Yarrowia lipolytica: one gene and its partners. The protein of the gene in region 1 interacts with the protein of each later gene in a pairwise test. Links are inferred from orthologs where the notes say so. Each region holds a gene or a part of one and is shown on either strand. Other genes may lie near its edges.

Region 1 (4,481 bases):
ACACTGACGCGCAGCTGGAGCCCGCCTCCAAGGTATTCATCACCTCGGGGCTGGCCAAGCTACTGGTTTCTACCAATCCTAGTCTTGTTTTCGGCGCCAAAATCTCAGCCTCGGTGGCTGTCATTCCTCTGTTGGCCAACATAGACAACGACTTTTCGCCCCTCCCTCTTTTGGATTCATTCGAGTCTGCCCTAGCTCTAACCAATCTCGCCTCTTTTGACGATACCACCCGAAAGGTGATTATCAGCCACGGATGGGAGAAGATTGAAAACATGATGACTTCGCAGAACCCCATGGTGCAACGAAGTGCCGTGGAGCTGGTCTGCAACCTATCGCTTTCGCCCTACTGTGCCGAGAAGTATCTTGACGGAAGTAAGGCAGCCAACTCGCGTCTCAATCTACTGGTTGCTCTGACAGATCTATCTGATGAAGCGGGACGTCTAGCGGCTATGGGTGCTCTAGCCATGCTGTCCGAGTGGGATCCTGCTCCTCCCATTATGGTCAAGAACGAGAAGCTGATGGCCTGTCTGCAGCGCATTCTGGACAAAGATACAGAGGTGGAGATGATCTACCGAGCTGTGGCGTTAGTGGGCAATCTTTCGCAAAAGGAAGGAGGCAAATTGGGCTCTCTCAAACCTGGCCTATTGAGAGTCAAGTCTATGGTGAAGGACATGACAGCAGAGGTCGATGACATTCTTACTAGACTCAAGTAGAGGGCCAATTAGAACACTGTAGACACGGCTAAATAACGATTGATCAAAGAATGTGTCCGAGCTACTACAAGAAGGACAGTATGTAGGTACGCGGTAGCTGCAGTCACACGATGTCTCGAACTGTATTGGAAAGCAAAGTGGACGGACCTGGTGAACCCTCCTGTTTTTGAACCCTGCTAATGATTTGAAATGCCTCTTCTATGTGCTCTATCAAATGTCGCACACTTTTAGAGAGGCTGGTGGACGAGGGATGAGAAGGTCCCAATGACCAGAATGTACCAGTGTACACGTTACCACTTGGTTCTAAATACCTCACGCTATTACTAAATGGCTGGTATTTACTTTTGTTGTATCACGGACTGTACAACCCGTACTCCGGATGAGCTTCAGTTCATACGGTGCATACACGGCGTTGTGCTGTATGGTCTTTGCATGGAAGTGGTTGCTGTGGCGACAGGGCGCTCTCGTACACCTATCGTATGTACAGGCTTGTATTTACAGTCTGTAGCTAGCTACATGCTGTATAATTAGCAGCTCAGGTACCAACACTAATGCCCCTTCTTGCTATCTACAGTAGTGCTCGCCAGATCAATCTACCTGTACGTACAGCCCGGTCTCGGGGACAGTGATTTATTTAGACCCTTGCAACTTGCTTTTTCTCGGTGCGTAAATCCGTGATTTTAGTGAACTTTTTTTGCCAACAGAGCCAAATGAAAATTTAATCTGATTGCATGCCCCTGGCGAGCGTTACAGACGAGGAGGTGCCAAGCCGGCAATGTGGGAGGTGCAGTACAAGAGTCGAGACTACTAGTTGGAGGCTGAGTCGTGGCTGTGCATGAAGCGGCTAAGCGGAGCGGGAGCTCATGGCGCGTCACGTGACGGACTGCCGCCCTCCAACTATCTCTATTTTTTACAGCTCCATGTACCAGGCAAGACCACTCTAAGCTGCTTCACTTTGTCTTATTTTGCCTTCGTCTGCCTGGCGATTATTCTGCCCTTGCCTGTGGATTAAGGTGGTGTTGGGACATAGCGCAAATACACTGCACACACGTACAGGCTCAGACGCGTAAGTAGGCTGTACACACCTGTACACCTCACCCACACCCACCAAGTTCTTCTCAACCAGCTTGCTCACACGCCATGAGCACCGACGCAGAACTACAGACCATCTCGGGCCTCTCGGTGGCGTCCAAAAGCGCCCCGAGCACCCAGACCGAAGGAGTGACCGCCAGTGGCAAAGTGGAGTCGACTACCAACGCCGAAGAGGCCACCAGTGACGTGGAAGAGGAGGAAAACCCGCTGGTGGTGGCAGCCCGAGACGGCAACACCGCCGAGGTCAAGCGGCTATGTGAATCGGGCAGCTATTCGGTTCTGGACACCGCTGAGGATGGAGTGACTGCTCTCCATTGGGCGGCAGTCAACAACCGAATCAGCACGTGCCAGTATCTGGTAGAACAGGGAGCGGTGGTGGACGCCAAAGGAGGCCAGCTGAATGGCACGCCACTACACTGGGCTTGTCGCCGGGGACTGGTGTACATTGTACACTACCTGATCCAGAACGGAGCCGATCCGCTGAGATCAGACGTCCAAGGCTACAACGCTCTGCATCTCGCCACCCATTCGTCCAACGTCATGCTGCTGGTTTACCTGTTGCATCAGGGCCTTCCTGTCGATTGCCAGGACCCAAATGGGCGAACCGCTCTGCATTGGGCAGCCTACCAGGGAGACGCTCTGTCGGTAGACGTGCTGCTGAGATGGGGCTCGGACGTGAAGATCACAGACACCCAGGGCTTTCTGCCATTACATTGGGGTATTGTCAACGGCTCGCGAAACTCGCTTGCCCGTCTCATCGAAGAAGGATCCGACATGTACGCCAAAAGCAGTGACGGAAAAACTCCCCATGTCATGGCCGCTGAAATGAACACCACCGCACAGCTGGAGGGCGCTCTCGACGACTGTGGACGGTTCCCCGACGGTAGCCAAAAAACAAAATACTTCGACGCCCGAACCACTAATCTCTTGTGTTTCTTCACCCCCTTCATTCTCATTTTATTGGGCCTGGTGCTGTGCACCTTCTGTGGCCCCATTTTTGGGATCATTCTCACCGTGGCGACCCTGTTCGGATCTATTAAACTGCTAAAGACACTTGTGCTACCGTCTCTTTACAACGGACATGCTGCTCTACTGAAATCACCCTTCCAGGCAGGTATATTCACGGGCTCGGCCTTCTGGGTGACAGTCAAGTACCTAACTTCCGTCCTTCCGGCTACTTTTGCCTCCCACCCCATTCTCAACTTTTTCTTCGCCTCCATATTTGGTCTGGCCATGTACTGCTTCTTCAGATGCATGTCCATGGACCCCGGATATATCCCCAAGCTTTCTGGCATCACCGAGCAGAAGGAGGTCATCGAGACGCTCATTGAGCGGGGCGAGTTTGACACGCGACACTTTTGTTTCGTTACCTACGTGCGAAAGCCGCTGCGGTCAAAGTTCTGTAGACAGTCGAAACGAGTCGTGGCCCGGTTCGATCACTTTTGCCCCTGGGTGTGGAACGCCATTGGAGTCCGAAACCACCGCATGTTTGTGCTCTACGTGCTGTTTCTGCAGATTGGCATTCCTCTCTGGTTGGCTCTCAACAGCGCCTACTTTGGAGAGCTGCTTGAAATCAAGCGATGGGATCCCCTGGAGTTCTACCTTGTCATCTGGATCTCACTGCAACTCATCTGGATCACGTTCCTGTCCTTTGTGCAGATTTTCCAGATCTGCAGGTCACTCACCACCTCCGAAGCCGTCAACCTGCAAAAGTACGGCTACATGGGTGCTGATGACTACTCGTCGGTCCCTCTAGACCACTCTGCCGCCACAGCATCAGCCAAGTCCGTTATGAACGCCCATGGACACGCTGCAAAGTCGCCCTGCTTTTCCTCGGTGCTCAAACTGCTTGGAGTCGATCAGTTTGTGGCTACTGCAGGTGAAGCCATCAAGCATCGGGACAATCGGTCGTGGAAGGAGAAGAACCCCACCGACTCGGGCGCCGGAACTAACTGCTTCGACTTCTGGTTCCCTAATGGCAAGTTTGACCTCCTGGCAGTGTTTGAAGCTGGTAAGGGTGGAGGAGCCATTGGAGGCCATGCGGTGGACTACTACAAACTGTGGGACTTCCCCGATGTGTCTCCCAACCAGCAGCAGACCAACAACCGGTCCACTCGAGAAGATGGAGAGGCTCTTCTGGCCGAGTCTCAAGTTTGAGCATTGATAGATAGAGGAACGCTAACGTATATAATAAGCTTGTATAAAGAGAGAGTGTGTGAGAAACGTACTTGTACTTGTACATGTGCAAATATTTGAGTATACAGTATGACAGAAATTCATTTTTGAGTACTCCTTGTACTTCTCATAAGAGACACTCAAAACTACAATCAATGTTACTGAGTTTTGTTGAGTCTCTCTACTACAAGTAGTAAGTACAAGTATGTACTAGTATTTATTTTTTAAACTTTCAGACGCACAAGTTTTACACCACCTAAACAAGATCACCATACTTGTACTTGTATGCCAAATAGCCATAACTCATAATAAATTTACAGTACAAATACATATCCAACCCATCCGACCATTAGTAATTCCCCTTTTCTCCTCTTCAAATCACATACTCTCCCTGTTCCATCAACTGCAATGCTTTTTCCGTGGGGTTTCGAACCCGTCCTGACCGGCTCGTTGGAGACATTGAAAACGACATACTGAGAGGCTCCTTCTTCACTTTTGGAG
Region 2 (4,283 bases), on another chromosome or scaffold:
TAGTGAGACAACTGGCAGTCTTCTCATATTCTATTGAGTTTAATCTATTTTATTTGTAAAAAAAAAAAATGCACACGCCTTTATCGTCTTCTCCACAATTTGTTACTATGAATCACATTTTTCTACATTTTATTTTTTGTTTAGTGACTTTCTCTTTTCGACGATACACAATTCATCACCTCAAACAATGGCAGTGCCTCGAACGAAATGCATATCGCAACGTTTATGATTTATCGAACCCAGCTTACTACAGGCAGAGGTATATAATATATATATATATATATATATATTATATATATAGCTGTAATGAATCATTAGAATAATTTCAAAAAAAGTGGTACGGAGTTCTCCATGGTGCAAGTCAGCGCATGGTGCTGTAGTCAAATTACACAATGTAACTGCCACCAACACAGATACACACGTTTACAATAGAATACTGAGACTAGGATAGGGTTTATTTGTGCTCACGACGGTATTTTATTTTATTCTATCATCCTATGTTTATTACACTTCAGGCCTTCGGATCACAAGCTCTTCGGCATCCTCGTCTTCCTCAGCAATTTCACCAAGATCGTAGTATTCTCCGGGCTCCATCAGTCGTTGCCTGGAGTCGAAAGTACCCTGTTGGTTGGAGAGTGGTCCACCAGAACTGTTTCTCCAACGGGAGATACCTCCGAAACATGAACCGAGGAGCGATGTCTCCTCCTGATAAATATGGCCTCGGTTTTTTCTCCAAAACAGGAATCCTGCGAGCCCCAGGATAATGAGGACAACGATCAGGGCTGTAAATCCAGCCTGGTAGTACGCCTTCCACATGGCATCACTTGCGATTTTCTTATCGTGTTCCGCGTCGTCATCATCGTCACTGGAACTGTCGTCGTCAGATTTTTGGTCGCCAGATTTTTGATCGTCCAAGTCACTGGGGTTTTCACTACCCCTTCCAGGTTTATTACCAGATAGGTCGCTCAGAGCCTTGGAGACGCCAATGAAGTCATTCAGCATTGTCAGACAAGCCTCGGGTTCATCGTAGGGAACCATATGAGAAGCATTGTATATCCTAACATATGTCAGATTTCTGTCACTTTGCTTCTTGCCTTTGGAAACGCCATCGACAACCCAATCGTCGAGCTCCAAGCCCTCGGTCCAACCCTTCTTTCCATTCCATTCCAGCTGTTCAATCATTCTCTCATTTCCGTAATGGTTGCAGATGAGATCTCGATCACCATTGAAAAATAGAATTTCCATGCTTTCCAAAAGGTCAGGTAGCAGGTAAACTGCAGCATCGTCATTTCCCTGTCGCATGCGGGAACCAACTGCTCCATTGCATTCCTGCCACGACTCCTGCTTATCGTTGTTGACATTCAGAGCCTGCACTGTTGCGTCTTGTCGTAGCCAATCAGTGACATATGGCAAAATCTCAGGCCAGTTCATACCACACGATGGCCATTTATCTTCCTTGGATACGTCGTAGTAGTTAACACATATTCCTTCAGATTCTGGTGCACTCCGCTCATTTCTGCTCAGTTCCACAATGCCATTCATGATATCTTCACAAGCTCGAATATGGACGGGAAGTCTCCCGTTGTTCTTGTCCTTGGCGATGTTAATGGCTCGCTCGCAAGTGTCTGTAAGCTCTTTGAGATCCTTCACATGTTCTTCCGTCTTTTCAATCACTCCATAGTCCAATGCGTATGGCACATACTGGTAATATTGATTCGCGGGGTCCATCCATCCGTTTCCAATAAGTAGACCTTTAAGATCGACAGTTCTCGTTTGCTGTAATTTGGTTGCGATGTAAGGGATGTACTGACCAGCGTAAGATTCTCCAGCTAGGTAAAAATCATCATGGGCTCTTTCTGGGAACAATTTGAGGAACTGTGTCATGAATGAATCCATCTCATCCCCTACCTGCCCGAGGCCAGTCAGATAAGAATCCGTGTCCGAATAGGAATAACCAGTTCCATAGGGCTGGTCAACAAATAACACGTTGGCATATTTGTGCCAAGAGCCCTTGTTCGGATCTACTCTGAGCTTGTCATCCACGATGCGGAAAGGGCCCACCTCCAACAGGGCTCCATCCATTGATGAACAACCAGGTCCTCCGTTGAACCACACGATAGTTTTAGGGCGCTCTGTGATCTTGTACTGAGCCTCAACAAGCCAGAAAAACAGGTTTCCGTTATGAGCTGCATCAGTGAGAATGTTTCCGGAATGCATCGTGTAATTGTCCACGCTGTCTAGTCCAGGAATGTGGCGGACGAAGTAGTCCGACTGCGACGGTGGTGCCTCATCAAATTGTGACAAGGCTAGTGAAGCAAGTCCACAGAATAAACTCCATGATAACTTCATGGCTGTTTCTTGTGGTTCGAAGTGGTTGGTGAAGTGGACGTGCAATGAATGATTGAAGTTGACCGAGCTTATTCCAATGCGTTGTGCAGTTCAGGAGTGTCGGGCAAGCCAGAGCTACAAGTACATACTGTATAAACTTGTAGGAATAGTACAGTACTGTCCAAATATGCATGACGAATATAAAACAAGTGAACTAAAGTGTTTCTTCACGATGACGGATCAATCTACTTGTGAGTCACAATGCAAGTGTCACATCCGCATCTTTGGTTTGTGATTACTAACATGACACGCCGCCCAACTGGCTAACCCTTACCTTTTATCCGAAACAGGACAAAAGTACGGCTCTTGAAATTACCACTGGAAGCGTTGTATGTGTGTGAAATATGAGGCTTAAATTTACACAAGCAATTGTGCCCGAATGACCCGCCCTTAAATGACCGTGCTGCGAGTGTCTGAGTGTTATCCGAATACGACGCGTGCTTCCCATGCACCTTCCATCTCTCGCGTTAATTACTTAAAATGAACTCAAACTCACAGATTCCGAAAGTGAAGGTACGGCATGTACTCGTACTCGAATAGGATGTTATTAGAATCAAATATATAGTGTGAGATGCTCTCGTACCGGTATAAACATTACATTAGTACTGGTACGATTGTCACACGTGTATACTTACCATACGAGTAAGGCAGTACAAGTAGTACCAGTTTTAGTACAGACTTCCTTGCACGCGAACTGAGGAGTTCCTGAAGAATCTTTCTGCAAGCCCAGAAGAGATACACATACATACTGTCCCAGTATCAGATGTACAGAGCACGGGAGGCCCCTGCAGTAATGGGTTCGATAAACCCAATAATGCAACAAGTGTGACAAGTATTACTTGTACTTGTACAAGTACAAGGTAGCTAATTTCGTAGTTGCTTAATAGAGAACTTCAGTTGGAGCGGGCCATACTTCCTGCATTATAGGCTGTTGATATATTAAAAACAAGCATAGGCGTTTGTACAATACAGCCGGCTATGACACCAACAAGCAACTGGTCATCGCGCAGCTTGTACAAGTACCAGTACCTGGTACTGAAAATGATGTGAGACTCACAATTTGCCCATCTGAAGTCGATAATATATTGAGTAACTTGTTCAGGTGATATTCTGTCGCTGCCGAAAATATCCCCCACCCCCGGTATTGGACGCTGTATTGAACATTACGTATGGACTCATAGAGTATATATAAGTAATTTTATATATATATATATATGTAGACGAGCGTTAACCTGGTAGCAAAATAAAACTAAACCTTAGAATGTGGTCGCGTGCGCATTCTCCAGGGCAGTGCAAATGCATACTACTGTACTGTGTGTACTATGTACATGTTGATCATGACGTTGTGAATTCATGACTGATGCAAGTACATACTGTATTTGTGCAATAGCGGGACGAGCAAGGCTGTCGGGAGTAGCAGGCAGGGTGCAACACAAAAACGCACATTATTTCTATGAATAAGTCGTACGGCACTCGTACTAGCCACGAGGTTTTGCTGTGCCTTTAGTCACTGAGCTATTATTGTGTCGATAGCCACCCGAAGTCACCACGGAACTACATTTAGGCGCCTATTCTCAGTCATGTGCAAGTACAGAAGGTACATACTGTAACACGAATTACTGATAAACTGTACTTGTACGGGGCCGTGCCTTATAACAGTACAGTACTGTAGCTACCAGATTCTGAAACACGGGCCGAACTGCAGTCGCCGACCACCCCTACAAATTTCAATTCAGAAATTTCAATTCAGAGAACATACGATTTTTCATAATCACAGTGCACTCTCATACCGAACTTCCTCGTTGCTTATACTTTTCCTAGCAGGGGATTTGACCACACAAAAGGTGTAACTCCCATCACGGCATGCTGACTGAGCCCGGCCGAAAAAAGGATCC
Region 3 (3,407 bases), on another chromosome or scaffold:
GACGCTTGTTATTGCCCTCGACGATCTGCTTGTCCACCAGGAGTGGAGCAGAGAGCATGGCTGGCGAGTGGCAAAGCGACCTGGCGTTGACTACTTCCTGGGCTACCTCGGCCAGTACTATGAGATTGTTCTTTTCTCTTCTCAGTACATGGCCAACTGCGAGAAGCTCATCATGAAGCTTGATCCCTACCACGCCTGGTTCTCCCACGTTCTGACCCGAGAGCACACCACTTACGAGGACGGTAAGCTGGTCAAGGACCTGTCTCTGATGAACCGAGATATGGGCAAGATCATCATCATCGACCCCGATACCGGATGCACCATGAAGCAGCCCGAGAACTCCATCCCCATCGAGCCCTGGAAGGGAACTCCCGGCGACAAGGAGCTGGTCAAGTTGATCCCCTTCCTGGAATGGCTGGTGTCTCAGAACGTGAACGACGTTCGACCCATTCTTAAGGCCTTTGATGGCACCTATCTGCCTGACGAGTTCACCCGACGAGAGGCCATTGCCCGAGAAAAGTTCGAAAAGGACTGGTACGCCAAGCACGGAAAGGACGGCCAGTGGGCCTCCAAGTTCCTGGGTGTCTCCGAGCCCAAGCAGCAGAAGCCTCTGATGCCCCACGACGTGATGCGACGAGAGGGCCAGAAGCAGTACCAGAAGTTCCTGGAGTACCTGGCCGTTGAGGGCCCCAAGCTCAAGGCCGAGGAGGAGCGAATGATTGCTGAGCAGAAGGCTATGGGACCTAAGAACCTGTCGGAGGCTGTCTCCAGCATTGGTTCTCTACCTCCTGTGCCCCAGCAGCCCACTGAGCCCAAAGCTTAGATGTATATAGTATGAGTTAACGTGGCACGATGAGTGATAGAGCCATGAGCGAGCCATGTGTGAGCCATGTGTGAAGCGAATGGTGAAGCGAATGACAACGCGATTGGATAAATGTAGCTGCTGTAGCCGTAGTCCGGGCCTATTCAATCGCTGGCTGAGAACTGTTAGTCACTGCCCCTTCTTCGCTACAAACTGTCTGATGTATGTCTGTTGCACAAGCGCATATATATATCCCGTGTCTGGTGAAGGGAAAGGACGACGGCTGGGGGAAACACAAATATATATCAAACGCGATGTGCACTTTTCATATCAACGACTTGCTGTTATCTTGAGATGAGCCAGATTGACTCTGATCTGTTACCCTGATAACGACGCACCCAGTTTATTTATATCTTCAGTATGCATTGATACGAGCTGCCTCGGTATGAGCCCTGGTATCTCTTTCATCAGACTATAAGTACACACCAAGTTTTTTCCGAAGTTGATGAACATACAAGTATTAGTATGAGTACATTATTCTGGAAGAGTGGCGACGAAACTGTAGTCTCGTTCTTCTGACTTTTCTCGCTTACAGTCCTGAGCCGGCTGAACAGGGCTGAGTTTAGATCCTCCTCATGTCTTAAACTCGTACGTCACATGGTGAGTTATATATAATGGACGATGATGGGCGATGTGAATGAGTAGAACAAAAGTAGTGAGAGGTGTTTAAACAGAACGTGCAAAGCTTCCAGCTGTTCCCTCTCACTTGTCATGCTCTTCTCAAGCAACCCTGTCTTAGCTATTCCCGCATCACTCATCTTAAATGTGTCCGGAGATAAGTAAGCTTCAGCTGCCTGTACAGTTTGCGAGTCCCAAACTATCCAGGCGATAATAATAGTTCTCCATGAGTACATTACCGCGGGTATCTGAGGTTGCTTTTGGGGTGTCATTCTGTAACAGTCTCATCTTTTTATATTGCTCAATGCAAAAATCGCATTTCCAGGTCTCTGTGGGGCCCACCACTTGTCGAAACAGGTGTTGTTATGATGTCGGATTTTCATTTACCCTACTCACGTGACGCCCAAGACATGTAGTACAGAGACTTTAATCAGACTGAACCATCAACAGCTCTGCGAACTTGCCTTCTTACGACCCCACAATGGCCCAGTTCCCGCTGTTTCAGAAATTCCAAAAGGCGATACAGCACCCGCCGGCCCTGTCGCTTGGGCTGCCCATTTTTCTGACCGTCATTTTCCTGTTGTCCCAGCGATATGTGTGGATTGAGGACGACCTGGAGCTGCGAAGCACCGCCCTGACCAATTTCGAACGTGAGTACACCGCAACAACACACCACTATTTTCCCCCTCGCTAACTAGTCAACCGAATCTCATTCTACCCCCTGGTCCATGCCACCTGGTTCCATCTGCTGCTCAATCTTGTGGCGCTACAGCCCATTGTGTCGCAGTTTGAGCGAGTCAATGGAACTGTGCGAACCGGAATCGTGCTCAACATTCTCGCTGTTGTCACTGCCATTCCCTGGTGTCTGTTGTCTATCGGCTTCTTCCCCGATGAGGCTGTCCTGGGCTCCTCCGCCTGGATCTTCTCCTTCATGGGATACTGGGCCATCCGGGAGTCCTCCAAGCAGCCTACCACCCAGCTGGCCCCCAACCTCGTGGTGCCCACTTGGCTTCTACCCATCATCTACCTGGTTGTCATTGCCATTGTCATCCCCAGCTCTTCCTTCATTGGCCATCTGCTGGGACTGATTGCTGGCTGGATGATGGCTCTGGGCTACCTGGACGTACTCATTGAGCCTTCGTCCAAGGTGGTGCTCTGGATCGAGAACAAGATCTCCAGAGTCATTGACCTGATCCCCTCGTCCATCGTCACTTTCTACCGAGAAGAGGGCGCTTTGGACACTCGAGCTGCCGCTCGAGCAGACACCAACCGGTCCCTGTCCGTGTCTGGCGGCAACTTCCTGGGCTTCCAGGCCAACTCCAGCCAGGCCGATCTCGAGGCCGGTACCCGGTCTCGAGGCAACAGCAGCGTTGACCCCACCACTTCTTTCCCTGGAACGGGCCAGACTCTTGGTACCCAGTAAAGGACGATACCAAAATGAACGTAGAACATGTAAACATGTAATGAGCCATGACCTTTTAAGTGAGTTACAGGTGTAGGGTGTTTGTGCGACTGGTGTAATACATGTACACAAGAAATATAGTGCCCTGTATCGTAGATTGACTACTGAAGATCCCAGGGTGGATGGATGATGTACATACCAGCTACACTTTGTAGTATCGATATGAAGCTGGGAACGCACAGTGGGACTATCACGATGACAAAAACTTGAAACCATGCAATTAATTATGTGTACTCAATCGTTCGTCTTCACAATCTACCTCTGTATCGTTCTCTCTCTCTATGATCGTTGCCCCCTTCATCTCAGAATCAAAGTTCGGGATATGCATGTCAGAAATTTTTCTGTTATCTCGCAACTACACCTGCACATTCCCCAGAGGACATTATTGGACCAGCTAACATGTTGACAGAAGACCAGATTGACGACGTCATGTTCGACGCCCGAGGAGGCGAGCTCGAAAGCATT

The links. The genes of interacting proteins can lie anywhere in the genome.
Region 2: the proteins of YALI1_E25761g (region 1) and YALI1_B07162g interact in binary tests that used the Saccharomyces cerevisiae proteins (3 or more experiments, as listed by UniProt). The link is inferred for Yarrowia lipolytica from reciprocal best matches to the Saccharomyces cerevisiae genes AKR1 and KEX1.
Region 3: the proteins of YALI1_E25761g (region 1) and YALI1_B27280g interact in binary tests that used the Saccharomyces cerevisiae proteins (3 or more experiments, as listed by UniProt). The link is inferred for Yarrowia lipolytica from reciprocal best matches to the Saccharomyces cerevisiae genes AKR1 and RBD2.

The regions. Positions count from the first base shown.
Region 1 is NC_090774.1:2,574,304-2,578,784, forward strand, and holds YALI1_E25761g (uncharacterized protein), read left to right. Parts: upstream 1-1,853; coding exon 1,854-3,962; downstream 3,963-4,481. Other genes in the region: YALI1_E25729g (uncharacterized protein), read left to right, coding at 1-713; YALI1_E25812g (uncharacterized protein), read right to left, coding at 4,354-4,481. UniProt on the Saccharomyces cerevisiae protein: Palmitoyltransferase specific for casein kinase 1. Palmitoylates isoforms YCK1 and YCK2 at both C-terminal cysteine residues, which is required for their proper plasma membrane localization.
Region 2 is NC_090771.1:714,274-718,556, reverse strand, and holds YALI1_B07162g (uncharacterized protein), read right to left. Parts: upstream 2,350-4,283; coding exon 505-2,349; downstream 1-504.
Region 3 is NC_090771.1:2,726,023-2,729,429, forward strand, and holds YALI1_B27280g (uncharacterized protein), read left to right. Parts: upstream 1-1,961; coding exon 1,962-2,130; intron 2,131-2,178; coding exon 2,179-2,903; downstream 2,904-3,407. Other genes in the region: YALI1_B27254g (uncharacterized protein), read left to right, coding at 1-823; YALI1_B27293g (uncharacterized protein), read left to right, coding at 3,342-3,407. UniProt on the Saccharomyces cerevisiae protein: Probable rhomboid-type serine protease that catalyzes intramembrane proteolysis.